Linked DNA regions of Notamacropus eugenii. Each later gene encodes a partner of the first gene's protein in a complex. Links are inferred from orthologs where the notes say so. Each region holds a gene or a part of one and is shown on either strand. Other genes may lie near its edges. The genes, in order: PRKAA1 and PRKAG1.

Region 1 (15,660 bases):
CTGGCAGCTTCACCTGCTGGCCTGCTCACTTTGCACCTGAGCCTATGGCTCTTCATTGAGTTGAGTGACAGTACTGTTAGTGTTGCAGATCTCTAAACAAACCATGCAAGTCAGCTTTCAGAAATATACTGACGATGCATGTGCACTGAGAATTTTAGGCTTGTGGCTCTCCATGCCCAAAAAGTAAATGAGTATCCATATACCACTGGTGAATACATTGCTGCTCTGTTTACCTTTTAAGTGGTGTGAAAACAGAATTATACCATGTGATGATTAGGTGATGAAAGGTTATAAACCAGTTTTTGTACTGAAAAAACAGAGTGTGATGATTATGTGGTGGTGATGAGGAACACCATAGTCATTACAAGAGAGGAGAAGACAGGCAAGGGGAATATTAAAACCTTTTGTAGGGATAGTATAGTTTAATAGTGAGTACTTCAGTCTGATTAAACTGGAGAACATGTGAAAGAGGGCAAAGACTGTAAAATTATATAGTGCTAGATTTTGGAAAACATTGGATGCTAAATGAAGCAATTTGAGTTCTACTCAGTTGAGAACAGGGACCACTGAGGTTTTTTGTTTTTAGTAGAGAAGTATTATAACCAGGTCTAAGCATAAAGACTAAGCTACCAGCAGTATGAAGGATGGATTGGAGAAGAGAGAGAGAGAGAGAGAGAGAGAGAGAGAGAGAGAGAGAGAGAGAGAGAGAGAGAGAGAGAGAGAGAGAGTAGATAGCCGTTAAAAGCCTATTGCACTAGACCTACTATAACTAGAGTGGTAGGCTCCCTGTTGTTAACCTTTAGGACAGGGGTTCTTAACCTGGGGTCTATAAACATTTAAAAAAAACACATACAAAGATAGATAGCTCTGTTTTAATATGGTTTTCTTTATAATCCTATGTCTTTTATTTCATGAATTTAAAACTTATTCTGAAGAATCTATAGGCTTCAACAGACTGGCAAAGGGATTCATGGTAGAAAAAAAGTTAAGAACCTTTGCTCTAGCATAAAAATACAAAATCTTCATCCCTGCATTTAAAGCTTACCACTCTCAGGCTCCAATCTATCTTTACATGGACCTAAGCCTCTGATGAAGTTAGGGATTCTAAGAATTGGAACTGAGGTGGAAGTACTTTCAAGAGACAGAAAGACAGTCTGCAAAGGCAAAGAGTCAGGAGAAGGCCTGTGATGTTTGTGAAACTTCCAGTATCCCTGGCAACTGATTTGATATGAGGATTATGGAGGGGGAAAGAGTAGTAGATGGCTCTAATATTATAAACCTGGATACTAGAAGGATGATGGTACTCCCAAGAGAAACAGGAAAGTATGGAGGATGAGGGGTTTTTTTTTGTGGGAGTGTAGGAGTTTTATTTTGGAAATGCTGAGTTTGAGATGCCTAATGGAGATGACCAACAGGCATTTGGCTGTGTAAGATTGTAGTTCAGGAGAGAGGAAAAAGCTGGACATATAGATTTGGGAGTTATCTCCAAAGAGAGGATAATTTTATTCACTAAAGCTGATGAGAGAGAAAGGGCAAAGAGAGAGAATACTTTCTCTGGAGAGTACTCATCGTGGATTGAGCTTTGAGGGCTATTCATACTTAATGGGAAGGAGTAGGATGGTGATCCAGCAAAAGAGGTTGGAAGCAATATTTATACAGGCAAGAGGAGAATCAATATAAAGCAGTGTCAAGAAAATGTAATAGAAAAGTATGAAGAGAATCTGGTGTTTTTAAGCCAAAAAGAAGAGATGGTATCTGGAAGGAAGAAAAATGTAGAAAGGTCAGAGAGCATTGAGACTTAAAAAGGGACACTGAATTTGTGGGTTGTTGGGGATTTCTGAGGAAACAATTTCAGTAGACTGGTGAGAAAATGGAGGCATTGTATGTAGACATTTAAAAAGAAGTTTGACAGTAAAAAGAAGAGAAATGGGATAGTAACTGGATGAAAGCAGAAGGATCAAAGGAATTTAATATTCCTCTTTTAGGAATGGGCAGACCTTAGTATGTTCTAGGCAAACTGGAAGGGGCCAGTGGAGAGGGATAAAATGAAGATGCATGAGAATGTGGAAGATGTCTGGACTATAGAAAGAATTTAAATGCTTTTTCATTTAGTCTATCTGTTTGTTCATCAAAATTCTAGAGGAAATGAGAGGGAACGTTATCATAGATGCAAGTAAAGATTCAATGAGCAAAACAGAGAAAAGATTGGGTGATAATGCTGATAATTTTGAGAACTGGAAGAGGTGAAGTGAAGAATTTCCCATTAGATGGCTCCAGCTGTCTCAAAGATGGAATTCATTTGTTGGAGTGTGGGAGTTGGTGACTAAAGAGGACATGGTTGAAGCTATTTCTGTGGGAAAAACAATAGGAAACAGGGATTACCTGATACCAGTACAGCCTCAGCTGAGTATTAAAAGTATATAAGTACTTTTACTTACATATATGTATATATGTATATATATAAATATATACATACATAAGTATGAGTACATTAAAGTATTATGTCCCCCATGTTTGGAATGCTCTCCCTCCTCGTCTCTATCTATTAGTTTCTTTGGCTTCCTTTAAGACCTTGGAGTAGCTAGGTGGTGCAGTGGATAGAGCACCCATGCAGGCATCAGGAGGACTTTAATTCAAATTTCACCTCAGACACTTGACGCTCACTAGCTGTGTGACCTTGGGCAAGTCACTTAACCCCAACTCTGCCTCATCCTGGGTCATCTCCAGTCATCCTGATAAATATCTGGTCTCTGGATTCAGATGGCTCTGGAAGAGAAGTGAGGCTGGTGACCTGCACAGACCTCCCTTACTCACAACAAAGTCAAGTGCAAGTTATGTCATTATTTCTCTGATGGCATGGTCTTCTTCAGCAATGAAGGACGAACACACACACTAAAATCCTGTCTTCCATAGGAAGCTTTTCCTAACTCCTCTTAATTCTAGTCCCTCCCCTCCTTTAATTATTTCATATTTACCCTATATAAAATTTTTGTACAGGTTTTTTGTTTTTTTGTTTTTTTTTGCTTGTTGCTTTCTCCATTAGATTATAAGCTCTTTGAGGGTAGGGAATGTCCTGTCTATTTTTTATCCTCAGCATTTAATATAGTGCCTGGTACATATATTGATTGACTGACAAAAGTATTGTATGGTTATATCTACTGCCTCATTCAAGTGGCAGAGTGTAGGTTGTCATAAGAGAGTTAAAAGATTATCATGCAGAAGAAGATTATGCCACAGAATCCAAGAGAGTAGTAATTGTAAGCATGTAGGTTTCAGTTGCAAATCAAGAATGAGCTTCCAATGCTGCAATTAGAGCTGTCCAACAACAGACTGAGTAATGGGATAGTGACCTTCACTGGAAGTATTTGAGCTGTAAGCAGAAGTTCAATGAGCCCCTGCCATGGATCCTATAGAACAGATGAAAGCCCTTCCATTTTGTTGGACTAAACGATCTAATTTCTATAATTTTAGGTTATATCTCCTTTAAAAGATTATATGATTCTTAAGGGCAAGGATTATAGGAGATTTAGAATAACTAACACAGTTATAGTACTTCAAAGTTTGCAAAGTACTTTACATATTTTATTTGTGTCACAACAATCCTTTTAAAAAATATTTCCCAATTACATGTAAAAACAACTTCTAACATTCATTTGAAAGAAAAATGAGCTCTAAATTCTCTCTCCCTTACTGCCCTCCTTCCTCCCTGAGAGTGAGAAATTTGATATAAGTTATACATGTGCAATCATGAAAAACATATTTCCGTATTAGTCATGTTTTCAACAATCCTTTAAGATAGTTATGACATTTATTATTATTATCCCCATTTAGCAGATAAGAAACCAAGGTTTCTTAGATTAACTGAGTTGTCCAAAGTCACATCACTAGTAACTGCAATAATCCAGGCTCAGATTATAATAAGAGGAAAGCAAGATTTCCATCTACTTTTCTTTTCAAAGTTTCATATTCTAAACTATTTTCAGTGAGTGTAGGTAGCAAAGACTAGTGCTTGTAATTGTGTTAACTGTGTGTGCACGTATGTGTGTGTGTGTGTATGTGTGTGTGTATAATGTAACTTAATTTTTGTTCTTTGTTTTCACACAATTCCCAGTGGCCATTAGAAAATACAAGCTAAGTTGGTATCTTGAGGTTTTATAAAAGAAAAAGAAAAACCTGACAACTCTAATCATGAAAGAAAATTTAAGAGGTTATTTGAAAGAAAAGTGGCATATTTTCTATCTTCTCAAATGAGAAGCAGGAAGTAATGTCTTTTCCAGGAAGAACAGGGTTAGAGCTGTAGAAACTCATAGAAGTAGGTAAGGCTTTTTAAAAAAAATCTAGGGAGAAAAGAGAACAGGTCAAATTCATTTAATCACTTAATTTTTAAAATTTTGATATGTTTTAACACGTTTACCCAAACAGACCTCTTAATGAAATACTTTCACTGAAAAAGTTATCAATTGTTGACAAAAAGGATATATCTTTTAATTCTGACTGTATGGTACTAACATTATCTGTTGTACTTGTCCAGTTTTATTTTTATTTTTAAACTCTGCATGTTTTTATTTATAGACCTCTTCTTATTTCCCTATAGTGATCCCTTGGTGAACTCTACACCATCCTTTTGAGTTACCATGCCCCAAACCTCAGTCTCCCAACATTTGCTGCTTTTGTTCCTATATACATGCTTCTCAAGAAAATCAGTGCTGACATCTATAGTGCAATTCACTACAAATTTGTTATAGAACCTCAACTGGGCCCTCACTGTTGCAAAGCAATCCTTTTATATCTCCCTAATTAACTCACTATCCCCCTCACCCTAGCAAGTCTTCCAAACTTTTTTTTATTTCTCTTCTTTTCCCTCCTCCCATTCTCTTACCTAAGAACCTTGTCTCATATTTTACTAAAAAAAAAAAAAAATCTTTGAGATCTTCTTCTTCTCCCCTCCTCATTAAACATTGCCCAGATGTCTTCTGTCCCTATCTCCTCTTTTATTCTCTCACATGAGATTGCCCTTCTCCTTGCAAAGGCTAACTTCTCTATATGCAAAAATGATCTATTCCATTCTCCTTTCTTCAGGTTTGTTCCACTCACTTATCTTCAATCTCTCTACTGGCTGCTTCCCTACTGAGTCTTCCCCATCCTCAAAAAACTCCATCCATCCCTAGTCACTATTATCTTATAATTCCCCTTCTTTTGGCAGCTGAACTCCTTGAGAAGGTTATCTACACAATAGATGCCTCCACTGCCTTTATGCTTACTCTTACATTCCTACAGTGTTGCTTCCTTCCAATTTTATCTTTCAAACAAAAGTGCTCTCTCCAACAATCTCTTCAATGCCAAATCTAATGGCCTTTTCTCAGTCCTCATTCTTCTGAACCTCTCTGCAGCCTTGACATTTAATCACCTTCTTTTCTTCTTTTGGGACATTACTCTCTCCTAGTTCTTCTTTTGCCAGACTACTCCTTCTCAGTCTCTTTTGTTTCATTCAGGTAACACACATGAACTACAGGTGTATCACAGGGCTCCATCTGGGGACCCTCTTTTATTTTTCCTCTATACTATTTACCTTGGCTATTTCAGCATCTCCCATGGACCCCATCTTTCTGCTGATGATCCTCATATCTACTTATCCAGTCCTAATCTCTCTACTGACCCCCAGTCTGCATCTCCATGTCCCCTGAACATTCTGAATATTCCATAGACATCTTAAACTTAACATATCCAACACTAAACTCATTAAAGCTCGCTTCAAGTCCTCCCCTCCAACTTCCCTCTTACTGTGAAGAGTACCACCATTATCCCTGTCACCCAGGTTCTCAACCTAAGTGTCATCCTGGACTCCTCAACTCTCTCTCCATCCCCAATTCCCTCCCTGCCCCAATCCAATACTATTGCCAAGAACCGTTACCTCAGTCTTCATAATATTTCTCAAATCCACCCACTTCTCTCTTTTGACACGGCCACCAACCTAGTCCTCAGTTCCTCATGACTGGACTACTGTTCTGCCTGTTACACATCTCTCTCCACTTCAGCCCATCCTCCACTCAGCTGTCAAAGTGATCTTCCTAAAGCATAATTCTGACCATGTCACTCCCCTCCACTCCCCCACTCAATGAACTTCAGTGGCTCTTTATGACTTCCAAGCATAAATATAAAATCCTCAGATCCAAAGCCCTTTTTAATCTGTGGTTCCCTGCCTCTCCTGTCCATTCTAGTTCTTATAATCATTCCTTCCCCACCTCCACCCCCTTGATACTCTGGAATTCAGAGACCCTAGCTTCCTTGCTCTTTTCCAAATGAGATACTCTATCTCCCCGTTCTGGGCATTTTCACTGGCTCTACCTCGTCCCCCTTGCCCCCCACTCCATGCTTACAATGCTTTCTCTCTCCTGTCCCTTGCTCCTTCCTTCTTTTAAGTCTCAGCTAATACCCTACCTTGAACGGAAAACTTTTCCCCATCCCCCTTAATCTAGTACTTTCCCTCCGCTGATCATGTACAATAGATCTTGTCTATAACTTGTTAGTATGTAGTTGTTCGAATGCTGTTTCCCTCATTAGACTGAGTTCCTTGAAAGAAGGGATTTCCCCCCACTTTTTTTTTTTTTTGTATGCTCAGTGCTTAGCAAAGTATCTGACTCACAGCAGCCACTTAATAAACGTTTGGCCGACTTACGAACATTCTTGTACATATAGAGTTGCGGGGTCTTTGTTTTGATTTTTCAGTCAATAACCTGCTTGGAATAATAGTCTCAGTAGGGGATTCTTCTGGGTATTGAAGAATATGAATTTTTCTTGCGTAGCCCCAAATTGTTTTTCAGAATGTTTCAATCAATTCATAGTACCTGACTTCCCACAGTCACATCTTTTTACATCTTTGATAGCTTATTGATACTTCCGGGTTGTTTTAAGTTTAGCTAAATCCCACGAACTATGTGATATGCGACACACACACCCTTAGCTCCCCCATCTTTGAACAGCAACAATTATCCCCTTTTCATTGCTTTGGATTCCTTCAAGCATTTATATGCAGTCTCTATTGAAAATGAAGAAGTTCGAATATTGACTTAGAATTTTCCCCTGGTCATTCATGTATGCCCTGTATCATTGTGAGGGCAGGGATCTTTGCATTTTTCACAGATCGTATATCATCACCACATGGCTTAATACATATTAAATTAAATAAACGGCAAATCAAAATTCTATCCAACAAAATCTTAAGAACTTCAAATTCCTTGGGTCGGCCACGTTGGAGTTGTTTGCAACAAGATTAGACTTTTCCAGGGATACGAAAGAGGCTCAAGGGGTCGGCTAAGACGTTAGCGGCGATTCTGGTGGGTGACTAAGGATGGGCAAGGAGCCCCTTCACGGGCTTTGCCAAGGCAGGGTCCCCGCCACTTCTAGATCTCCGGTGGAGAAGGAAAGCAAAGGCTGGGGGCGCAGGGCGGGCGGACGGGGGGCTGGAGTCGGAACCCCTGCCCAGCCCCCCTCCCCCGTCTCCGCTCGCTGCAGTTTCCAGCCTATGCCCAAACATCTGCAGAGCAGACTCGAGCAGAGCCACGCGCCGGGCGGCCGGCTGCCCACGCTCGGACAGCGCCCGCCTGGGCTGGCAGCCAGCGCTCCGGCCCCAGCGGGCAGGGGGGACAGCCCGGGGCGTCCTCCCCGGGCGCGAGAGGGGGCGCCGCCGGAGCTACGGAGGGGGTGGCGGGGCCCGGGGACGGCTCCATCCAGCACCTCGGACTCAGTCCCCTCCGGCCGCCCCCGCCACGGAGAGTGGTTGGGGCCAGACGGCGGCGGCGCGGCGCAGGAGGAGGAGGGGACCGGCGGGGGCGCGGGCCGCGACAGCCGGCTCCTGGGCGGAGGTGACCCACCCTGGGCCCCTCCCAGCTCTGCCTCTCGGGGGGCCCCCTCCTCCTCCCCTTCCCCCCCTCTGCCTCTCCAGTCTCCCCTCCTCCCTCTCCTTCCCTTCCCTCTCTGTCCCCGCCCTCTTCCTTCCTCTCCTCCCTCCCCCTCCCCCCCTAGGGCGCCATGCGCAGGCTCAGTTCCTGGAGGAAGATGGCGGCCGCGGAGAAGCAGAAACACGACGGGCGGGTGAAGATTGGCCACTACATCCTGGGGGACACGCTGGGGGTCGGCACCTTCGGCAAAGTGAAGGGTGAGAGCCCTGGGGCCGGGCTGTCCCGCTGCCGCGGAGCTGGGGGACTCCCCCCCACCCCCCGTTTCCTCGCATCTCCATCCCTCCACTTTCCCCCTCCCCCCCTCTCCCTCGCGCGCCGGGACCCGGGAAGTCTGGTGCGGCGTCCGGGGGGCAGCCCGGGAGAACCCCCGGTGCCCACCCGGGTCGTCCTGGCCGCGCGGCGGGGCTCGGACCTGGTCCGCCCCGGGCGGCGAGGCCAGATGCTGGGCGCCTGGCCGGAGGTCCGAGTCCCGTGCCGTGGCTTCAGGCAGAGCGAGCCCCAGGGAGGTGGGGGGCCCCCCGGTCCCCGCTGCTTCTCCCCAGATCTCCTCCGTGCCCGGCACTATTTCCGTCCTCTTGACGAGGCGAATGTTCTTGGCTGTCGCCGAGCCAATGAATTAATCCAGGTGACACGAACCCCAGCCTGTTAAGCTTTGGGGGTGCTGTGTAGACCAAGTCACCTGGTCTAGCTGGAGCACCCCTTCTTCAGGGGTCTTGGAACCGCTCCTTCTATTATGATGTATTGCCAGGTCTGTGTTCTGCCTGTATTCTGTGCCTTCAACTGTTTTTGGACAGTCAGCAAGTGTCCTGTATTCCGTGTCTGCCGAAGCTGTTAGCTATTTGGCGTGCTTACCCCAAATAAGGTTTTTAGTTTATTGTAGGTACTAATGACAGCATTTACCATACATGGTGTCATTCACTTTTTGAGAAGCGAAGTATATTTTTTTCAAAGAATTGGAAGAAAAACTGTACCGGAGTTCTCTCTGCCAGTCCTATTTCAACACCATGTTTATGAAATGAAGTATCAAGGAACTTTCCGTCTCCTGTTTTTCACCAAATGCTGAAACATTGCAAAATAGGTGCTGTTTAAACATTTGATATTGGCCACTGGGTAGAGTAATAGAAGAAATAAGGATGGCTTTTATGATAAATAGTGATAGGAAGCTTATTTCCCTTTCCTATAATTTTTCTGTTACAATAGTTTTATGGGTGCAACCTACCTGGTACATAAATGCTCAGTATTTACTGTTTTGATTTGAAAAGTATTTAAAAGTTTGGATGATGAAATAAATAAATAAGTCTTGCTCTTCTAGAGCTAAATAAACATTGTCTGATTTTATCTTGGGAGGGGAGAGGAGAACCCTCCTTTCTCTTGCCCCTTTCTGAGTCATAGAAGTGGAAAGTTGCTGTGTAGCTCACAGGGAGAAACTGCCTAACAGTACTTGTGAAAATCAGCAAGGGCTACAATAAGTTGAATAAATGTAAGAAACTTAAGCAAAATGACAGAATGGGTTAATGATAGTTATTAGGGTGGGTCTCTTTTAGGCTTAGATTTGTGTGATCCTGACTGAATTGTGGCTCTGCTATCAATTAGAGCTTATGTGTTGTTTATTAGTACTCTTAAAAATACTTGTTAGCATCCTAAAAAGATGTTAAACTATCCTTGATTATTTCACCTGAAATTCTTCTTGAATTAACACTAAGATCATTTACCTAACAGAAACATGATTTTTCATTTTGTCATTGTAGAGACACCACCCTGCCTCCCCACCCAAAGATTTCAAACATAGTCATATTCATTTAAGATTTGAAAACAGAGATTGGAAGGCAGAATAAATGAATTGCTCAAGCAACAATTTGTTGTGAATTCAGTGAGATCTTTTTGTTATGATTGGCAGGGTAGAACATCATTGTTAGTGGAAGAGGTCTTCTTGCACATAGTTGGTAGGTGTTAAGTGAATGGAGTGTTAACTTTACTCAAAACTTTTTTTTCCACCTTTAGCTGTCTGGATGATTTTATTTTTTATACAGATAGAACCACTGGAAAAAACATTTTAATCTTGTTTCCTTTATATAAAACTTCACAGTTTGCACAAAGTACTTTTTTGTTGTTGGATCCTTACATCAACTATCTGAGGTAGGTAGTGCAAGTATTGTTCCTATTTTATAGGTGAAAAAACACTGAGGCTTGGGATGTTATGGACCTTATTCCAGGTCAAGGGTAGTATGTTAGTAGTGAGTCACTGAGCCCTGACACAATCACAGATCTTTTCAGATACCAAGGTCAGAGCACTTTGCCTCCCATACCACAGTTTTGAATCTGTTGTTCCTTAAAATTATAATGGCTCTTTTTGTTCTTGATTGCTCAGCCATCAATACCAGTAAGAGATAGTCTTTTAATTTTGTGTGTGTGAGATGTGAATTTCCTGTATTTTTAATTGTTAAAATTTAAATTCCAAGTTAATGATGTTTTACCTGAGACAGTAGATGTTTCCAAATAAAACTAGTTTCTTTTAGGTCAAAATGGATTGACATAGTAAAAATTTTAGATGTTTTGTTTAAAAAATTATATGTACTGGTTCTTGTTTTAAAGTACTTCTTCCCCTCTCCCAGCTTGAGCATAATTGGGTCACCACTCTATTGTCAATGTAAGTAGAAGCATGGGAAAATGGAGGGGAGACACATTTTCAGCACAGGTGCTTGACAAAAATTGCCTTGATTTGGTGCCTAGAAACTATTTTACCTGACATTTATTCCATTTAGAATCACATTCCATCAGATTTTAATCTTTTATAAAATCAAGATCATCCATCTGGTCTAAGGAAAAGCATTTGTTACAATGTTCCAATGCATTTAGACAAAGTTACTTGTGGAAGAGATACAGATAACTTGGTCTTACTGGTTATTCAGCTGACAGTTTTGCAGCTTTGGAAGTAGGAAAATTTGAGTGTCAGGACCTTTGCCATTATGACTTGCAGAGAACCGCAACAGAATTGTCTGTGGCTGTGAGTAAACATATGTTTTTGTCTTTCTGGTTTGGACTCCAAGCTGAATATTCCAGCTGAGCATTGTCATAAGTAAAGCTCTTGGGAGCTTTTGGAGTAAGATTATCAAGTATTGAATGAAGAGAGGAGTACTTAGTGATGCAAATTTCAGATAAAAATTTTTCTTAAGTACCCAGGTGACTGAGGATGGAGCCACTTAGGGAGCTGTTAGTGTGTTATAGATGACAGAAGAATCTTGAGCTCAATTTTTATAGAAACTTGTTCTGACTTGAAAATAGCACTGAACTTATAGTCAGAAACACTGTATTTGAATCTTGACTTAAAAGCTATGTGAGTTTGGAAAATCAGTTAACTTCCCTGGATCTCAGTTTCCTTATCTGTAAATTGAGTACTAGATGACCTATAAAGAAGAAAACAAACATATATTATGCACGTACTATGTGCCAGACACCGCTAAGTGCCTTACGGATATTTTCTCCTTCACTGCGACCTTGCTGTGTAGGTGTTCTTTTTATCTCCCCTTTACAGTTGAGATAAAACTGAGGCAGACAAAAGTTATGTGACTTGCCCAGAGTCACACAGCTGGTAAGTGACTGAGGTGGAGGATTTGAATTCAGGCCTTTGTCACTCCAGGCCCCTGGGTGTTCTATTCCCCACAGAGCCACCTGGTGGCCTTTATAAGAACTCTTCCAACTCTAAATCCAGGTGACTAGTTAAAGCTGGAAAGGACCTCAGAGGTCATCTTGTCCAACTCCTTCACTGAAAATTTTTTATTTATATATTTTGTTTTTACATTGCTTACATTTCCCCTGGTCTCTCTAATCCTCCCCCCTCCCGGAGAGCCATTCCATATAACACAGAATATTTTAAGGAAAAAAGAGGAAGAAATGGGAAAAAAATCAGAAAAAGTGATTAGTGAATTGAAAATATTTGAAAATTTATGCAATGAAAATATTTGCCATATCTACCTTGTAGCTCTGCAGAGTGGTGGGGAATGCTTTCTCCTCTCTCTTCCTTTGGGACCTTCTTATTCTTTGTAATTTTGCAACAATCATTTTTTCTTGGTTGTACTAGTCTCATGTTTTGCAGGTGAAGATGCAGAAGCCCAGTTAACTGACTTGCCCTGTCACAAATGTAGCAAATAAATAATCTCACTAGAGCTAGGATTTGAACTCTTAATTTGCAATTCTAACTTGAAATCTAGTGTGCCTGCCATAGGAGAGGCACTCAGGCCTGTACTCTGAGCCTCGTTTTCTTGTTGGATACAGTTCTCCAATACCTGGTTTCCCATCCCTCAGACCCAGAAAGAAAAGAATAGTGTTGAGAAGAAACACAGGATGAGAGTTAACACGCCAACAACAAAGGAAGAGATGCCTCTGGTGTCTTTTCTCAGTCTTCTGCATATATCCTTGATCCCATTCCCTTTCATCTTTTCCTGCATATTGCTTCCATAATCATTCCTTCTCTTTTCTTTCAATCTTTTCCTTTCTATTGACTTTTTCTCTACCTTAAAAATCTTTCCCAGCCTTAAAAAAAATCCCATCATTGCTTCAAGCTATCATCCTATAATTCCTCCCTTCCACAGCAGAAAACATTTTGTACTTTATCTTGACTGTTTTTTCTTCTCATTCTCTTTTAAAAGTTACCATTCATCTCCTAACTGCCAAATCTAATAGTCTTTTCTTAATTCTTGACTTCTCTGCAGTATTTAATGGTACTGACCACCCTTTCCTCCTGATTATGTTCTCTTCCTTTTGTTTGTCTCCTGCTTGTCTGTCTTGCCTTCTCAGTCCTTCTTGCTGGTTCATCATCCATGCTGTGCCTCCTAACTGTAGGTGTACTCATAAGACACTGTCTGTAGTCCTCCACCAAGGCTTCTTAATCCTTTTTTGTTTCATGGACCTCTTAGGTTGTCTGATAAAGCCTATAGACTTCTCAGAAATGCATAACATAATATCCACAGAATTACAGAGGAAACAATTATATTGAAAAAGTTATAAAAAATTGTTTTAAAAAGGTCACAGATGCCAGATTAAGAACCTTTACAATTTTTCTTAGTCACTTCAGCTCTTGTGGGTTTAATATCTTGATGCAAATGGCTCCTCTATCTACATACCCAGCCCCGCTGAGCTTTTGTTCCTTATCTTCAGCTGTCTGTTGGACCTCTCAAACTGATTGTCCTGTAGATATCTCAAACTTACCATTTAGAACTTTGGATTTAATGAGTTCTAAAACAGAACTCACTAACTTTCCTCTCAAATTGCCCCATCTTTTGAACATATGCTATTGTCCAGAGTTGCATTCTTTTCACTCAGCTAAGTTTGCACCTTCTCCGTCATTCTCTAGTCATCCTCACTCACCTTATGCAGCATGTCCCAAAAGTCTTAGTATAATTTTAAAGTTATAAAAGCTTAAAACTGCTCTGATACTTTTGGGACACTTTGGACATCCAGTCAGTTGTCAAAATAGTCATCCACATGGCACAGTGGATAGATAGACCATGGGTCTCAAAGTCAAGAACACTTGAGTTCAAATCTTACCTCAGACACTAGCTTTGTGACTGGGTAAGTCACTTAATTTCTTTGTGCTTCAGTAAGTCCATATTTATATTAAGTGCTTGCTAAGTGCTAGGCACTGTACTCAGTGCTGGTATACAGAAAGAGGCAAAAGAGTTCTTGCCCTCCAGGAGCTTATGATCCAATGGAGGAGACAACATGCACAAAACACATCCAAAAAGCAAGCTACGTATAGGGTAAATTAGGAAGTAATTAACAAAGGAAAGGCCCCAGAATTAAGAGGGGTTGGGGAAGACATAGTAAATGAAGGGATTTTAGCTGGAACTTGAAGGAAACTAAGGAGATCAGTAGCTAGAGTGGAGGAGGAAGAGTATTCCAGGCATGAGAGACAGCCAGAGAAATGACTAGAACCAAGAGGTAGAATGTCTTGTTCATGGAACATCCAGGAGGTAGTGTGTTTGGATCAAAGAATATGTGTTGGGGAATCAGGTCTAAGAAGACTGGGAAGACAGAAGTGGGGCTAGGTTATGAAGGGCTTCAGCTTTGAATTCTAAATACTGTATTTTGTGTTTGAATCTGGAGGCAGTAGGGAGCCACTGGGATTTATTGAATGGGGGGATTGACTTGGTCAGACTTGTACCTTAGGAAAATCACTTTGGTAGCTTATTGGAAGATGAATTGGAGTGGGGAGAAATTTGAGGTAGACCCAGCAGTAGGTTATTACAATAGTGGTGGCAGTGTCAGAGAGAAGGGGGCATATGGAAGAGATGTTGCAAAGGTGAAATTGATAGGCCTTGGCAACATATTGGATATGATTGTTAGGTTGTGAGCCTAAGGGACTGGGAGGATGGTTTTGTCTTCTACAATATAGGGGAGGTAAGAGTGGGGAATGGGTTGGGGGAAATATAATGAGTTGTTTTGTACATGTTGAGTTGAAGTTGTCTTTTGGACATCCAGTTTGAGATATCTGAAAACAGTTGGAGATACGAGATTAGAGGTCAGCAGAGAATTTTTAGTAGGATGGGTAGATTTGAGTCACTAGCATAGAGATGGTAATTAAATCTATGGGAACTGATGAGATCACCAAGTGAAATAGTATAGAGGAAGAAGAGAAGAAAGCCCAGGAGAGTACTCTGAGGGACGCCTGTGATTAAAGGTGTGATCTGGCGCTTCAGTTTCCTCATCTATGAAACAGAAATAATAATAGTACCTACTTCACTGGGTTGTTATGAGGATCAAATGTGTAAATCTCTTTGTAAATCATAACACACTATTTAAATGGTACCTTTCACCATTATTATCATTAATAACTTTTGTCATTTCTAGTTTCATAACATTTCTTATATGTGTTCCATTGTTTCCAAATCATTCACACAACTATTGCCCCAGTTGATCTCCCTCCCTCAAGTCTCTTACCAATGTAATCTGCTTTCCATGCATCTGTCAAAGTGATTTTCCTAAAGTGTAGGTTTGACTAAGGTCACACCCCTTTCCTGTAAACTCCAGCGGTTTCCTATTACCTCAAGTATCAGATATCAAGTCCTTTGTTTGGTATTTATACTTTTCACAACCTGTACTCTTCTTGCCTTTCCGCTTTTCTTTATTCCCCTCCTTCCAGTGTTCCTTGCACAGTCCACTCCACCTCCTATCTTCATGCCTTGTACTCTCTGTTCCCCATTCCTGGAATGCTCTCCCACATTCCATCCCTTAGAATTTCTGATTTCCTTTAAAACTCAGCCCAAGCACCACTTTGTGTAAGAGGCCTTTACCAGTTTCCAGTCTAGGCAGGCATAGAATGAGACAAGCATTCTGAGATGTGGCCAGTGTTTGACAAAGCATTTTTGAAAAATACACGGAAGAAAAAAGATGAGTGGAAGGAGAAACAGATATAGTAATTTTCTTATTACTTTATTGAACTCTTTATCTTCAGTGCTTAGCGTATAGTAAACAGTTAATGTTGATTGATTGAAAAAAAAAAGACAGTACCAAAAAGTTTCTGATACAATCATCTTGCCTGTTGTTTGTACCCTTGGAAGGATTATGTTTATTGATTCAATTCACAATCAAAAAGAAAACTTTAAAAAACTATTAGACATGTAGGTTAAATTATAATTATTTCTTAAGAAAAAAGAAAAAAGTTTTACCTTTTAAAAACATAGTCATTTCTCCATATGCTCCCTCT
Region 2 (15,761 bases), on another chromosome or scaffold:
GTCATTCCTATCATCCCCCGGGCCAGCATCCCAGGTGTGTGTATGTACCTGTCTGTGGTGTGGGTTAGGAAAAGTAGACATTGTGGAAGAGCAGAAAAAGGGCTAGCTCAGTGTCAGGAAAGACCTAGGTTCAAATTTGATCTTCTCTACTTGACCTTCCTAAGCCTCAGTTTTTATCTGCAGAATTGGGATAAGTAGTATTGTGGGGATCAAATGAAAGAATGTTTTTTAAAGCACTAGGTAAAATTAGCTGCTGCTTTGTTTTTATTCTTGTTGAGGGTGGGGAGGGTTTGAGACCGGCTGGGTCTTCAGGGTCTTCCCTGTCCTATTTAGTCTTCCCAGATACCAAGCCCTTTGGGGCTCTGGAATTAGAACCAACAGGAAAGCTGTCTGCCAACACCTGGGAAAAGGGCAAGGGGAGTGAGGTGTCTGTCATGCTGACTGTCTCTGCGGCCGCTGCCAAGGTATACCAATGTGGTGGGGAGAGTGGGAGGCAGGGGGTAGAGGGAAGGAGCCTTGGCCTCTGCTGTAACGCAGTGCCACACTGAGGGCTCTCGGATGACACAGCTCTCCCGCTTCTCTCCATCTCCCTTCCCCCCATATGTCAGAATCTGAATGGTGTCATGGTGGCTGTGGCAGAGTTGTTGAGCATGAAGATCCCCAGCTCCTATGAAGTGCTATTTCCAGAGAGTCCTGCCCGCGCGGGGGGTGCCGAGCCCAAGAAGGGGGAAGCGGAGGGACCTGGTGAGTGTGGCACAGATCGGGTGGGAGGCCAGGGCAGAAGGCGTGCCATGCCACTCTAGATTCAAAGGGTAGTGGATTCTCCCTCACTTCTTCCTACAGGTGGTAAAGAGAAAAACCTAGGGGGAAAACCCGCTGAAGGTGGCAGTGACTGGCTGAAACAGTTTGATGCAGTGCTGCCAGGCTATACCCTCAAGAGCCAACTAGACATCCTGAGCCTCCTCAAGCAGGTGGGGCCGTGGGGTGGGAGGGGTCAGAGCTGGGGTCGGGGGTAAGGGCAGTGCTAACAGGGCAGAGGACCTCAGAGGGGAAAGTTCCGGGATTTGGGAAGGAACAGTGGTAGATACCAGTCTGGTGTTCTGGGCACAGTCAGGAGGCTTCCTTGTGCTGAATGGTATGGGATTGTCTCTGTAGGAAAGCCCCGTTCCAGAGCTGCCTGCCCAACACTGCTATATCCACAACGTCTCCAACCTGGATGTTCGTCAGCTCTCTGCCCCACCACCTGAGGAGCCTTCTCCTCCCCCTTCACCCTCAGCTCCTTCTCCTGCCAGCCCCGCAGCTGAACCCTCAGCCCCATCACCCCCACCACTAGTTCCCTCACCTCCACTGCCTGAAGCAGCTCGCCCCAAGCCCAGAGCCCGCCCTCCTGAAGAGGGTGAGGATTCCCGGCCACCCCGGCTTAAGAAGTGGAAAGGGCTTCGCTGGAAACGGTTACGGCTGCTGCTGACCATCCAGAAGGGTGGCGGACGACGAGAAGGGGAGCGGGAAGTGGCTGAGTTCATGGAGCAGCTGGGCACAGCCCTCCGGCCTGACAAGGTGCCCCGTGACCTTCGGCGCTGCTGCTTCTGCCATGAAGAAGGTGATGGAGCTACTGATGGGCCTGCCCGCCTCCTTAACCTGGATCTGGACCTATGGGTCCACCTTAACTGTGCCCTGTGGTCCACGGAGGTCTATGAAACTCAGGGTGGGGCATTGATGAATGTCGAGGGCGCCCTCCACCGAGGGCTGCTGACCAAGTGTTCGCTGTGCCAGCGTACCGGAGCCACTAACAGCTGTAACCGACTGCGATGTCCTAGTGTCTACCACTTTGCCTGTGCCATCCGGGCCAAGTGCATGTTCTTCAAGGATAAAACGATGCTATGCCCATTGCACAAGCTTAAGGGGCCCTGTGAGCAGGAGCTGAGCTCCTTTGCTGTCTTTCGCCGTGTCTACATTGAGCGGGATGAGGTGAAGCAGATTGCTAGTATCATCCAGCGTGGTGAGCGGCTACACATGTTCCGGGTGGGAGGGCTAGTGTTCCATGCCATTGGGCAGCTCCTGCCCCACCAGATGGCCGACTTCCACAGTGCCACAGCCCTCTACCCAGTTGGCTACGAGGCCACGCGCATCTATTGGAGCTTACGTACCAACAATCGGCGCTGCTGCTATCGCTGTTCCATCATCGAAAACAACGGGCGGCCTGAGTTTATTGTCAAAGTCATGGAACAGGGCTTGGAAGACCTGGTTTTCACTGATGCATCCCCCCAGGGTGAGGCTCTAGGGAGTTAGGGAACCATGTACTGTGTGGGTGGGTAGGACAAACTCCTTCCCAGCTGTAATTCACAGAGGTCTTTGGTGTTTAGTCTTTAACTTCTGTGGCCTAGCATCCATTAGACTGGGCAGAGTTTTTTGTTGTTCAACCTTAATCTTTTCTGCTGTTCTTTTTTTTTTTCTTTTCTCATTTGAGGTGAAAAGAGTTACTTCCATGTCCCCACAGATTAGGTCCAAGCTTCCCTTAATCTGATCCTAACTCATCGTTATTTTCTCTTACTTAGGGTATTAAATGAAGCTCTGACTAGTATTGACTATATTTAGGGGTGGAGGGAGCGGGGTAAGAGATAATTTTTTTGATATTCCTACTTTATATTCCTCACTGTCTTTAGAGCAGAGGGTCTGACCCACAGGGGTGCCATTCCTGTTTTAGAGGGAAGGAGTCAAGGCATAGGTCAGGAGTGGAGAACCTGCAGCCTTGGGGTTACATGTGGCCTTGAGGCCAAAGGTTTCCCACCCCTGGCATAGGTCATGGGAGCCACAGATAAAAAATAACTCTTGTATCTGGGTAAAGCCCAGATATGGGGGGAAATAAGTCTTTTGATGGTCATTTGATTTCCCCTCAGCTGTGTGGAACCGTATCATTGAACCAGTGGCTGCCATGCGCAAGGAAGCCGACATGCTTCGGTTATTCCCGGAGTATCTTAAGGGCGAGGAGCTCTTTGGGTTGACAGTACATGCTGTCCTACGAATTGCAGAGTCGGTAAGGTGGGAGGAGGGCAGGGTGGGCTGCAGGGGATTCTGGGGTAGGCTAATTGGGGTACCCCTGCTCCCAGGGGCCTGGGCTGTGGTAGATTGCTCACTGTGTCCACAGCTGCCTGGAGTGGAAAGCTGTCACAACTATTTGTTTCGATATGGACGGCACCCACTGATGGAACTACCACTTATGATCAACCCTACTGGCTGTGCCCGCTCTGAGCCCAAAATCCTTACTCACTACAAACGGTGAGCCTACTTGTTGAGGGAGTCTGTGGTCGAGCTGGGTTTGGGAGGGATCTGAAGTGAAGGGAATGGGCAGAAAACAGGGTGGAGGATTGGAGACCTTGGGATAATTGGGGGCAGGGGGGCGGAACACAACACAGATGGGGTGAAAATGGAGACATCTTTTCCTTTGGAAACGTTGAGGAATCACTCAGACATATTGAATAGAGGAGGCTGGAGCCAGGGCCCCCTCTAAAGCTTGTCTTTCCTGCCTAACTAATGGGGGTGGAGGGTGGAAATGTGTTAACTGGGGAGGTATGCAGTAGGCAGGTATTTATTGATGTGATGGATGAGGGAGCTAATAGTTTTTTCCCTTTCCCCTCTCTAAAGGGCTCTGACTCCCTCCACCTTGAGCCTAAAAGGGAGCCTTTAGATGTACCCTGGAGTGCTAATGTCCACCTGAGGTGGCCCCAGGAATAATAATTGAAAGAACATTAAAACCTCACATTTGTATAGCATTTTATACTTTTTTTTCCAAAGCGCTTTCACATCCATTATCTCATTTGATCCTCACAACATCCTTATGAGGTAGGTAGGGCAGGTGGTATTACCCCCCTTTTTTTCAGATGAGAAAACTGAGGCCCAAGGAAGTTAATTGACATGCCCAAGGTCACACAGCAAGTCAAAGATGGAGCCAGAGCTAGAGCCCTGGTTTCTTGACTTGTTCAGTGCTTTTCCCACTATGCCATTAGTGGACCCTAGCTCACCAGCTGGGGTACAGGAAGACAGAAACGATTTTAAAGGAGTTCTGTCACTGTATGTGACCAAGCCCCAAGCAAAGAGTCCTGGACTTGATCTCTGGTGTGCAGAGATGAAGGGCAGGAATACAGCCTAGGTAGTTGTGGAGGGAGAAGGTGGAGTGGGGAGTAGGGACGAAGGGTAGGGGGCAGTGGGGGAGGGAAATGGAGTCAAACAGGTTTACTGAATTATTTTCCTGAATTGAATAGTTGGTGCAGAGGCAAGGGAAGAGAGATATCATCCCTGTTTGGGAAAAGTTTGTAGTTTTTGTTTCAAGGGGGAAAAGTGTAAACAACTTTAGTTCTCAAGAATTGTTCTAATGTGGTAAAGGAACAGAATTCTGAATATGCCCTCGGAGTAGAGCTCCAAGGGATAGTCCAGTGACTGGAATGACAAGACATAGACTGTTCCCTGTCCTTGGGGTGGTCGAGGGAAGAGCATCTGTGTTAGGCTAGTCATGAGAGGGTGAATGTATCCACACATCAGGGAATGGGAGAAGTTTCGCTTATTTGATTCCTAGACCTATCTCAGGTTTTCTGAACAGAGGGCCATATGGATTTTAACTGCTGCCCCACCAAGATGGAGACCCTTATAGTAAATTCAGGTTCTGCCTCTATTTGCCCAGGCTATATTTCCCATATGCCCGTAGCACATGTCCTGAGGCCTGGCTGACATTTGCCACATCCCAGAGTTGGGGGTTGGGTACACATCATTGTGTGTCTACTAGATCTGACTTGCCATTTTTCCTGCTGTCCCCAGGCCTCACACCCTCAACAGCACCAGCATGTCCAAGGCATACCAGAGCACCTTCACGGGCGAGACCAACACGCCGTACAGCAAACAGTTTGTGCACTCCAAATCATCACAGTACCGCCGGCTCCGCACCGAGTGGAAGAACAACGTGTACCTGGCTCGATCCCGTATTCAGGGCCTGGGGCTGTATGCTGCCAAGGACTTGGAGAAGCACACAATGGTCATTGAGTACATTGGCACCATCATTCGAAATGAGGTGGCCAACCGTCGTGAGAAGATCTATGAGGAGCAGGTTAGGGCCAAGGAGAGGAGCTGTGTGTAGAATGTTCCGGGGATTCAGGACGATGGGGCTATGGCGGGCAAACTTGAGTCTTCAAGGGAAAACGAGAGATATTTGTGGAAAGCTGGAAAGCCTGAATCTGTTTGAATCTGTTTCTCCTGTTCCCTTCCTCTTTACAGAATCGAGGTATCTATATGTTTCGTATCAACAATGAGCATGTGATTGATGCCACACTTACTGGAGGGCCAGCCAGGTAAGATGGAGAGGGAGGGAGGGGCATGTCAGGGTAGAACTGGCCCTAACCTGAATTGTTCCCCTGACACTGACCACTCCCTGGTCTTTTCCGGTTCAGGTACATTAACCATTCATGTGCCCCTAATTGTGTAGCAGAGGTTGTGACCTTTGATAAGGAGGATAAGATCATTATCATCTCCAGCCGGCGCATCCCCAAAGGAGAAGAGGTGAGAGGAAGTCTTAGGAATGATGTGATTGGCAGTGATTTCCTTTGTATGTTTTTTTTTTCCCTAAGCCTGACTGGACTTGATCCTTTCTCCCTTCCCTCCCCAGCTGACCTATGACTATCAGTTTGACTTTGAGGATGACCAGCACAAAATCCCCTGCCACTGTGGAGCCTGGAACTGCCGAAAGTGGATGAACTAAGCTCAGAGGCAGCTGGGCAGGGGAGACCCTCCAGAGCCCTTCCCAGAAGGGTTGAAGGGGAAGAGAGCCAGGACCCAGAGCTGGGGCTGCTGGCTGACCAGAGCCCTAGGAGCAGGACGGGGCTCAGGGCCCTTTCTGGGCACCAGGGATGACTTCCCTCCCCCACCACAGGCCCCAGGCTGGCACATCTGCCCCCAGCTCCAGGAGCCGACAGACAGAAACAGCCATTGGGCATCTCAGGTTCGGGGGGTGGGGGGGTTGGGTAGATATGGGCTGGGAACTACCCAGCACCGTCTAGGAGGCAGCAGAGACGGTGAGGAGGGTGGCAGCTTGGGTCTCCCAGCCCCAGTGCTCCCACTGACGTCCCCAGCCCAACTCAAGGCTGCAAAGAGACTTGATTAAGCTTGACAATCCCAAAGGCTGGGTCCCCACACCTGGCCCTGCCCGCTGGGTCCTGTCCCTACTTCCCAACCCCCATCTTCCCTTTCTCTCTGTCTCCCTCTTCTCCTCTATGTCTCTCTCTGTCCCTCTTTCCATCTCTCTCTTTCTGGGTTGTGTTTCCTTGTTTTCTCTCTGACAAATGCAACACGAACGGGAAAGAGGCACCCAGCTGCCCGGGTGGGGCGGGCAAGGCAGGCAAGCCGGGCAAGGAGATCCTGCACCCACACCTACCTCATTTAAGTGTTGGATTTTTTGCTGTTTTGAAATGTGAGACCCTCTCCCCAGCCCTCTGATCCCTCAACCCCTTGTCTGAACTGGGGGTAGCAGGGAGGGGGGGGTAAAAAGGAAAACCTTTAGAAAAAAAATCTGTTTTTAACTGTGGGCATGGGGTAGTGACTAGGGCTGATGGGAAGCGATTGAGAGAGGGTGACCCCTCGATCCCCTCAGAGGCTGGGCATCTCTCCCCCTCTGAACAGGTTGGAAGGGAGAGGTATTGGGGTTGTGTTTCAGAACCAGGGTGTCCTCCTCTTGTACTCCCAACCCCATCATGAGCCCAGTGCCTCCCTCAGCCTCTCCCTGGATTTGGAGGGGAAAGAGATTCTCTTGAGTTGTGTACCCATTCCCCGTGGGGCAGGTTGGGGCCCAGAGCTCCCTACTTCCCCAGCCACCAAACTGCTGCTGGTCTGGTGGGAAAGGGAGGTGTTGGGGGTAGGGGAGCTTAGTGTCATCGTGGGGAGGGTGGGGGGGTATTTATCTATTTATAAGCCGGATTGTATATAGTCATGTGGGGCATGGGGGGGCCAGCAGGAGGTGAGAACCCTCCCCTCTCCCCCCCACCCCCTGGGGAGAGCAAATGTAAAACTACTAATTTTTGTGCTTTATATATTCTATATAAATATATCTATTTTCTTTTTACAAAACCAGTTTATAAATGGTAGGGGGCGAGGGGAGGGACACCTGGAGCTCCCCTTGTGGGGGAGCTGCCCTCCATTATCCCAGACCTGCTGCCCTGCTTCTCACCCCCCCCCATCCCCTGGCTGTGACTGCTGTAAAGGTGAGGGGAGGGGACAGGGGCTGGGCTCAGTTTCCCCACTCCCAGATGTACAGTTGGACTTTTATAACGCACAAAAGTGATCTGGCCCCTAAGGGAGCCAGAGGGTGACGGGTCCCCTCCCTCCTTTTTCTCCTATCTCCCTCCCTAACTTGTGCTGCAGGTGATTGAACCTCTTCCTGGAGTGGGGGGGGTGTTGAAGTAACCCCTAGGCCCCTCTCTGGTAGGGAGCCGTAGATTTGCAGATGAAGTTTTTATTCAGTTCTCTCTTCTAGGGGCTGTGGGCAAAGGGCGTTTTGTAATTATTTTAAAGCATCAGAAATCTGGAGCATGAGGATGAAGGTGATGCCAGTGGAGAGGGCTGGAGCAGGGAGCCTAGTCGCTGTTGTGTTTTTAGTTGTTTTTTTTCTTTTGAAGTTTTTGTTTTGTGTTTTAATTTGAGACAGAATGGGGTGGCAGGGGTGGGGAGGAGGCTGAAGATTTTTTTGTTTTTAGGGAAAAAGACAAAGCTGCTTCCGCAACTTGTTTAAAGATGCAAAGGTTTAAAAGAACTCCTAACCCCCCCCACCCCCCCCACCCCCGCCCCCAGCTCCACAGGGAGCAAAGAGAAGCTGCTGTAAGTAAACCAGGAGCAAGACTGGGCTTCTCTAGCGCCCTCCCCCCACCCCACCCCGCCCGCACGACCCCAGCCGCCGGACCTCTTCCTCTCCGAGAGCAGAAGGCCCTCGGGCCGGAGCGGAGCCCAGCGCAGGGTCTGGGCTGGGGGCAGACTTTGTAAGGTATGCTAGGTATCTGGTAGTCCTGTAGATCTTAGTGAAGAACCTTATACAGTTTTTAATTTTGATACAAACTATCACGCAGACCCAGGCTGCAAGGTTGGAACTTTGGTTTTCTGTTGTTCTTAGTTCCCCGCTTGTACAACGCATCGGAAGCGCCCCGCCCCCACCCCGCGTTCGTGTTTTGGGTTGGTTTACACGCACACCCTCCATTTTCAGTTTCCCCTTCATCTCCAGGACTCTCCTCCCCCTCCCTCCCTCGGCCTCCCTTGGATAAAAACCGCTGACCAGTGTGAATCCCGTGGAGACTTGACTTTGTGTTGTGTATGCTGTACAGCCAGGTTTGTCCTTCGTAACAACGGATGAAATGACCCCTTCTAGGCCGCGCCCTCCCGCCCCGAGCCCCCGTCCGTGGCATGTTTTGTATCGGCGATCATTATGAACTGTACATAATTTATGTTGTGAGAGGCAAAGGGCAAGTTTGGGATTTTGCTTCTTCCAAGTTTGTTTTTAAAGGACAAATAAAAAAAGCATTTTAAATACAAGTCGCCTGGAGTCGCTCGGTAGCGCCGCCGCCAGCGGCCCGGGGCCGGCCAAGGCCGGGAAGGGAGGGGGAAAGGCAACGCCCCTTCGGCCGCTCGCAGGCGACTGGTCGCTACCGGAAGGGCGGAGGCCGCGCGTCTTTAGGTCACGCGGGAGGAAGTAGGGTGGCGGTGCCGGAAGTGACGAAAGGGGCGGATCCGGAAAGAAGCGGCCCGGAGGGCACGAAAGCCGCTGGCGCGGAGCGGGATGGAGACGGTGAGAGGGAGAGGGCTGCCAGCCGGAGGGCCTGGCGGCGGGCGCCTCCCGGCCGGGGCCAGCCGGCTCCCCGCTGCCGGGCTGAGGAAGGGAGGGAGGGGGCGGGGACCCCGGACCTCCTGTCTGGGCTGTCCGTCCCGGAGCCCGGGGCTGCCCTGACGCCGAGGTCTCGCCTTAGGAAGCTGCTCGGCGGAGGGCGGGCGTCCCTCCGGTGCCTGGGCCCCGGGCCCTTCCGGGCGCTAGGGAGCCTGGGGCGCGGGCCGCTTGTGCCAGCCCGTCCCTGCGGAGCGTTCCCATGGCCGTAGTCCTCCTTCCAGGGGTCGCCCCACCCATTTCACGTTAGCTGTTACCCCTCTCTTTAAAACAACAACAACAAAAAACGGGTTTTCTTCCTTTGCAAAGGGTAAAAGTGGGACCTCCAAAAAATGACATAGGGACGACGTCAACCTTGTAAATTTGGGAAAGTGCTCTTGACTGGACTGGGAGGCAGGAGGGCTGGGTTCAAATAACAGCTCTGCCGTCGATGAACTGATCTCGGGCGAGGTACTTCATCTCTCTAGGCGCATTTGGACCCAACGGTCTACAAAACCTCTTCCAGTTTTAAGAGTCTGAGATTCAGTGACATGGGGCATGCAAACTAAGGACTGTGATGAAAACAGCAAAGAGCTGGAATACTAAGAGCTAAATTGTCCTCATTCTGATCACTGAGTAAAACTCAGGATAAGTTATGTACGGCCTGAAAGAGTCCAACCCTGCAGTTTAAGGAAGTAGCTAAGAAGGATCCGACCAGCATGGGAAAAATGTCCTTAGAAAACATCCTGGGAAGAACCGTGGCTATTGAATAACCGTCCACTGGCCTCTTCCCCCACCCTGGGAACTTCTTTTAAGTTAGTTACAGGGCTTTGCACATTGTAGGTACTTAAGAGCTATTTAATGTTTCTAATTATGTTCTTTTAAGTGACTCTTTGTATCCTATTAGTGACTTTTTGTATCAAATAATATGTAAAGCTCTTTGCAAACTTTCAAGTGCTACACAAACTTAGCTGTAATTATCTTTCTAAGTGTCTGTCTAGGTATGTCTCTGAATATACATGTGACCAGGTCTATACATTTGTATAGATTGTGTACATTTGTGTTTCTACAAATCCAGTTTTCCAGTCCAAATGTCTTATTTGTGTCAAATCATCTGTGCCCCTCTATTGCTCCCTTATGGTTTACATAGCAACTTTGTTTCCAGGCACATTCATAAATAACCTACTATCTCAGTTCATTCTATAACCATCTCTGGGAGGTAGGTGGGAGCAGAAATTTTTGAGGAGCAGATAATACAAGTGGATTCATAAAGATAAGGTTACTTAGCCATATGTATGTTTGTATCTATTCTGTGCTTGTCTATCTTTCTGTCTTAGTGCAGCACTCTGACCATCTACGTCTTCCAGTACATCACCATCATAATGTTTTGCAGTAATTCAAATAATCTGTGATTCCATCCATATAAATATTCTTTCCACCAATAAAGAAATGAAGCTTTTCTACAGCTTGGATAGATATATAAGTTTCTGTGTCAAAAAAAATCATCACTTGGTAACCATCCTTTTGGTGATGAGTCTCTCTGAATTTAGGTAGGCTAATCACTGAGCCTGAAGTCTGAACCATTCTGGCTTGGTATAGGACTTGTCATTGTAATATAGTATCTAATACAAAACTGCAGGTTACCTCCATAATATATAATGAGGCATCATAATGGGAAGTTTAGTGGAAGTTCAACAACAAATATTTATTGAGTACCAGCTGTGTGCCTAGGGTACTGAGATTACTGCTTTCCTGGAGGTTACATTCTGGTTTGGGAGACAAGATATTTGTATATGAAAAAATTATCACAATACAAGGTAGTATATAAATGCCAAAGTGGACAACTGCTCCATTTCTTGGTCTCTCTTTATGTTATCCAGTCTTTGGTTTTTGTATGTTGTGTGATCTTGTCTGTGTCTCCTGTATACATGTATGTATCTGCATTGCTCAGTAACCTTCACATGCAGGTGACTAGATTTGTTCCAGTGGCATTGCCAAAATGTCACACGCAGCAGACAGCAGCAATGGAATTCGGTTCTTGCTTCCTTTGGGGGTGGGAAGCTGTCCTTTCAGCTTGCCTTTGACCTTTGTTCACTAGCCAGCAGAAAGACTCCAGATCTTTTAGCCTTACATTTTTGCAAAAACTTGTGGGGCAAAAATGCAGTTTTTGGAACCATTTTCTGAATATGTTGAATTGCAGCTACTAGTACAGATAGAAATCAGCATAACTCCTTTTGGGTAACATTGACATTTCCAGGAAGTATACAGATTTACCCAAGTTTTGGTTACTCTGAGCTAGGGAAGGAGGCAGGAACTGCCCCTTTACCCTCTCTATGTCCCTAGGACCAGGAAGTAGAGGCAGTTAGTGTTTCTCTTGGCTTTGGAAGGCTCTGGCTCATCAAGTGATGCTAAAGTGCAGGTCTGACCATATCATTCTTCCCATTGTAAACTCCTTTAGCTCCATATTTTCTCCCAGATCAGATATAAAATTTTCTCTTTGGCTTTTGAAGCCCTTCATAACCTGGCCCATTCCTGCCTTCAAAGTTTTCTTACTATCCTCCACATGCTGAGATCTCAAATAAGACACTCCATCTAACGACTCTGAGCATTTTCACCAGCTGTCTTCCATGCCTGGCACAGTCTCCTTCCTTATGTTTACCTCCTGGCTTCTCTGGCTTTCTTCAGATCTCAAAGGCCCACCTTCTGCAAGAAGTCCTCCGTAATCTTAGTGCCTTCCCTCTGAGACTATCCCCTGTTTGTCTTGTATATATCTTATTTGTACATAAGTTTTTGCATGTTGTGAAGCTTAAATAAGATAATATTTGTAAAGTGCTTTAACTCAGGGCCTGGCACATAGAAAAAGGTGTTTAATAAATGTTTATTCTCTTCCCTTGTTTCTCCATTAGACTAAACTCCTGGGGACCAGGAACTGTTTATTTTTTACCTTTCTTTTTGTCTCCAGTACTTAGAGAAGTGCCTGGCATGTAGTCAGAGCTTAATAAATACTTGTTGACTGATCCACTGAATTGACAAAAGGTATTGGGTTGGAATTTCGAAAAAACTTCTTAGCTACAGAACATGTTTCATGTTTATCCTTCAGACATTCAAGTGGTGATGACTGACTGGCTGCCAGTTTCTCCCTGTCTTTGTGATTAGGGACCAAGTGGCATGGTCCTTATGCTCAAGATAGTACTTGGGGAAGGCATTGATATCCCACTATCCTGTTTTTGACCCCCATAGCAGATTCTTTGGGAGTCAGGTGTGGGCCCACATTTTGGGCTACGTTTTCAAAAGCTTTTGTAGCTTAGCCTAGGCCAGGAATCACTGGTGTCAGTTTTAAAGCATTGTTTCTTTTATGCTGCCTTCCTTATTGTTGGGGGAGGGGTAGATTCAAGAGCCATGAGAAACATAATGAGGTTAGTAGATCCTAAGTTAGGCTTAGTTCCTTTGTTTGTCCTTCCAGGTCACTATTCCAGAGAGTGGTATGGAAAAATGCACCCCAGCTCTGGAAGGTAATATATTTCATCATGATATACTCCAAGAAGGATGGGTACTTCTGTGAAAACCAGTGACCAGTCTATAATTGGTCTTCAGTTTCAGCAGGTTTTGTTTCTCTCCCATTGTACATGCTGGGGATATCAGGGCTGAGCCAAAAACCAGAGATATTAGGCCGCTTTATAAGAATTAGAATCAAGAGCTTATATAGGGAACAACAGGAATAAGTTTGGTGTTATAGGGGTGCTTATTAAGATTGTCATAAGTGATTTAGATAATTAGAGTAGGATTTTTTTTCAGTGGGAGATTCTGAACTGTTGTCAGTGGGAGAGCTATAGGCTAGAAGACCACATTATAGAAGTCCCTGTTACTTATTAAAGACCCCAGAGCCAGGAACCACCAGTCTTTTGTCACCCAGCATCTGAGTGTGTACCCTCACATCTGGGATGGCTTTGAAGACTTCTACATTTTCCCAGCATTTCAAGTCAGGAATAGAATGGATTAGGGATATAGTAATAAAATCCAAGACACAGGGTTTAGCAGTCCTACAGTGTTCCCAAACTCCTGTCAGTTTTGAGCCATTATGAAAGAACCCTGAATTGCCTTTACAGTTGCTTCTCTATACTGTGTGACAGGCTTTCGAACCTCACCCCAAAATAATGAAATAATCTTCCATTTATTTTAAAAAAAGATTTCTATTGCCGTAGGACATTAAGATTCCAAAGAGATGACGTAGACCTTCCCTGATGGATAGAGAGAGGAATCAGGACTTGACCTGTGATTTCATTGGTATAGGGAATCTCCTTCAGCTGAAGAAGCTTCATTTACCAATCCAATCAGTACCTTCTCTGAAACTTCTAGTCTTAAAAAATTGCCTAGAGTACTGACGGATTAAGGGATTTGCTTGGGGTCACATAGCCGGTATGCAATAGAGGTAGATTTGATCCCAGGGCTTCCTAGCTTCCAGGACAATCTTATATCCACTATGCCACACAACCTCTATAAAACGTATAATTTAAGGGGGTAGAAGGAAACACATGTACACAAATAACTATGATAACGAAGGAGTGATCCAGGAAAAGTAGCATGTGAAATTTTAGGGAAGATCATTTTGATTTGGTTGGGAAAAGGGAATAATTCCTGAAGGAACTGGTATCTAAGTTGAGTTTTAAGGGAAGGAGGAGACTTTCAGCATTAGGAGGTAGAGTGGAAAATTAACTAAACAGGAGAACAGTACAAGTTTGGAGAGGAGTGAGGGAAGGATGAGAAGTGGGGATAAAAGCTACCCTTGTCTGTTCTGAAAGTAGGGTATAAGAAAATGAATAGTATGAAGTAGGACTAGAAAGGTAGGTTGGAAGTTGGAAGGTTATGGAGACTCTTGGGTGCCAGGGTAAGGAGCTTTTAATTCATTAAGTAGTGGGCAGCCATTGAAAGCTATTGAAAAGATTATTGACATTAGGAAGATTATTGGGGCAGCAGTGCGAAGAGTGGAAAGCAAGGAAGCCAGTTAGGAGGACCTAAATATGCCCCCCTTCACCATTTCTGGAACTCCTTGAAGCTGCTGTGGACTTCCCAGACAGACTTTTATACTAGCCTCAGAGACTCTAGAGGCTCTATGGGATTTGGAATAATGGCTGAGGATAAAGGATAGAGATAGCTCTCTTCTTTATATTAAAAAAAAAAATCCATGTTGGGCACAGGATGAGGTAGGACAGTGCAGGCTATGGATATTTCCCTAGTTTGACAAAGGATATGGAGATAGTCTCAGTTTTCACTGGATTCTGAACTTGCCCTCTCTCTCAAGGCCTTATTAGTGGTACAGACTATTTGTGGATTTTTCTTACCCATCAATAAGACTTTCAGGATCCTACACCCAGCCTGACCTCACCCTAGACCCATCCTCAGAACCTTAGACTGCTGGAGGGAAATACAGGAAGCAGGAAGTCCCATCCAACATGGTGTTTTACTAACACACACCAACATGGTATTGAATTGGAATGGCTTGGATAAGGCAACCATTCATTCCTATCAAAAGCTCTCTGAAGCATCACAAGACTCTTATTCTATTCCAGGAGAAGAGCAAGAGAGAATGAACAGAAGTTATGGTGAAAAAACTTAGCTCAGAGAAGAACCTTCCAGACAAGAATAGACTTCTAAGAGATTATCCTTTGGAGAACTCTGAGTAGAACATTCTCTACCTGACAGGAATTGACATAGCCCTGCTGAAAGATGAAATGGTCTCTAGCCTTGGGAAACTGAGAATTAGATGGATTCAAAAAATCCTTGTCTAGGTTTGGTGGGAGGAAGAAGAATGAGGCAGGATGGAATGGGAGGGTGTCGTGGAGAGCGACCTCTCCATTTGGGAAGCTATAGCCCTCTGACAGAGAGGTGGGGGAAGGGGGAGCAGGGCTCACACAGCAGAATGGAGAACACTAATCCCCTCATGCTATGCAGAGACCCCAGAGTCCAACAGCGCTGTCTATACCTGCTTCATGAAATCCCATCGATGCTATGATCTGATCCCCACAAGTTCCAAACTGGTTGTGTTTGATACCTCCCTGCAGGTGAGTGAAGCTTTTATCCTCTACCCTTTCCCTGAGGCCTCTGCTTTATATATCCCATCCAAAGCCATTTGTAGGGCTACTCTTACCCTTCTTTCCCCTTATGCTTCTTATCCTCCTCCTCCCTCAATTTCTCTCCTAGTGACCCTTCCTTCTCTATTACTCATCCCCTCCTTGCAGGTAAAGAAAGCTTTCTTTGCCCTTGTCACAAATGGAGTTCGGGCAGCCCCATTATGGGACAGCAAGAAACAGAGCTTTGTGGGTAAGTAGGGGTCCGGAGGATGGATGATATCATCATGGTAGGCATGATGGGAAGTTGAGGGTGGCATTTGGGATTCCCTCATCTGAGGGTGTTCTAAGGGGAAGACAGTACGATTCCTAAGTATTCATTTGGCTTCCAGGCATGCTGACCATCACTGACTTCATCAATATTTTACACCGTTACTACAAGTCAGCCTTGGTGAGAAACCCATAACCCGTTGATTCTGATGCCATAGTCAGGAACCATTGATTTCCTCTTTGGGTCCCACCTCCAAGCCCTGCCACTGATTTCTGACAGTGTCTTCTTTGCATCCTCGGGTCTGCTTTCCTCCATAGTGCGCACAGTTCTTGCCCCCTGCTCCACTTCCCAGGGAACAGTCTGTTGGGGGTCTATTGGAATAGAGTGATAAAAGCCCGAACCCTGTTACCTCTATTCCAGGTACAGATTTATGAGCTGGAAGAACATAAGATAGAAACCTGGAGAGGTTCGTAGTAGGGAGTCACAGGGAGACAAAGGGTTGGAACATTTTCTTGGGAAGCTGTTTTCTTTGGTGGCATTTTGT

Evidence for each region.
Region 2: the proteins of PRKAA1 (region 1) and PRKAG1 are in contact, whole or in part, in a crystal structure (PDB 6C9H), measured with the Homo sapiens proteins. The link is inferred for Notamacropus eugenii from reciprocal best matches to the Homo sapiens genes PRKAA1 and PRKAG1. Residues at the interface, in NP_006242.5 of Homo sapiens: Ser295, Ser296, Thr297, Met298, Ile299, Asp301, Glu302, Lys305, Arg342, Glu347, Ala348, Phe351, Tyr352, Leu353, Arg369, His371, Pro372, Glu373, Pro376, Phe377, Asn449, Val451, Thr452, Thr536, Pro537, Arg538, Gly540, Ser541, His542, Thr543; in NP_002724.1 of Homo sapiens: His36, Asp40, Leu41, Ile42, Pro43, Thr44, Ser45, Val50, Leu64, Val65, Gly68, Val69, Arg70, Trp75, Ser77, Lys78, Lys79, Gln80, Phe82, Pro158, Glu159, Ser160, Gly161, Asn162, Lys170, Arg171, Lys174, Phe175, Leu178, Phe179.

What each region holds. Positions count from the first base shown.
Region 1 is NC_092875.1:419,370,055-419,385,714, forward strand, and holds the start of PRKAA1 (5'-AMP-activated protein kinase catalytic subunit alpha-1), read left to right. Parts: upstream 1-7,833; 5' UTR 7,834-8,028; coding exon 8,029-8,155; intron 8,156-15,660. UniProt on the Homo sapiens protein: Catalytic subunit of AMP-activated protein kinase (AMPK), an energy sensor protein kinase that plays a key role in regulating cellular energy metabolism.
Region 2 is NC_092874.1:220,884,042-220,899,802, reverse strand, and holds the start of PRKAG1 (5'-AMP-activated protein kinase subunit gamma-1), read left to right. Parts: upstream 1-8,696; 5' UTR 8,697-8,800; coding exon 8,801-8,809; intron 8,810-12,344; coding exon 12,345-12,393; intron 12,394-14,448; exon of another isoform or gene 14,449-14,613; intron 14,614-14,830; coding exon 14,831-15,199; intron 15,200-15,338; coding exon 15,339-15,397; intron 15,398-15,637; coding exon 15,638-15,683; intron 15,684-15,761. Other genes in the region: KMT2D (histone-lysine N-methyltransferase 2D), read left to right, coding at 1-34, 334-464, 609-744, 844-971, 1,156-2,269, 2,898-3,034, 3,146-3,276, 4,810-5,095 and 3 more. UniProt on the Homo sapiens protein: AMP/ATP-binding subunit of AMP-activated protein kinase (AMPK), an energy sensor protein kinase that plays a key role in regulating cellular energy metabolism.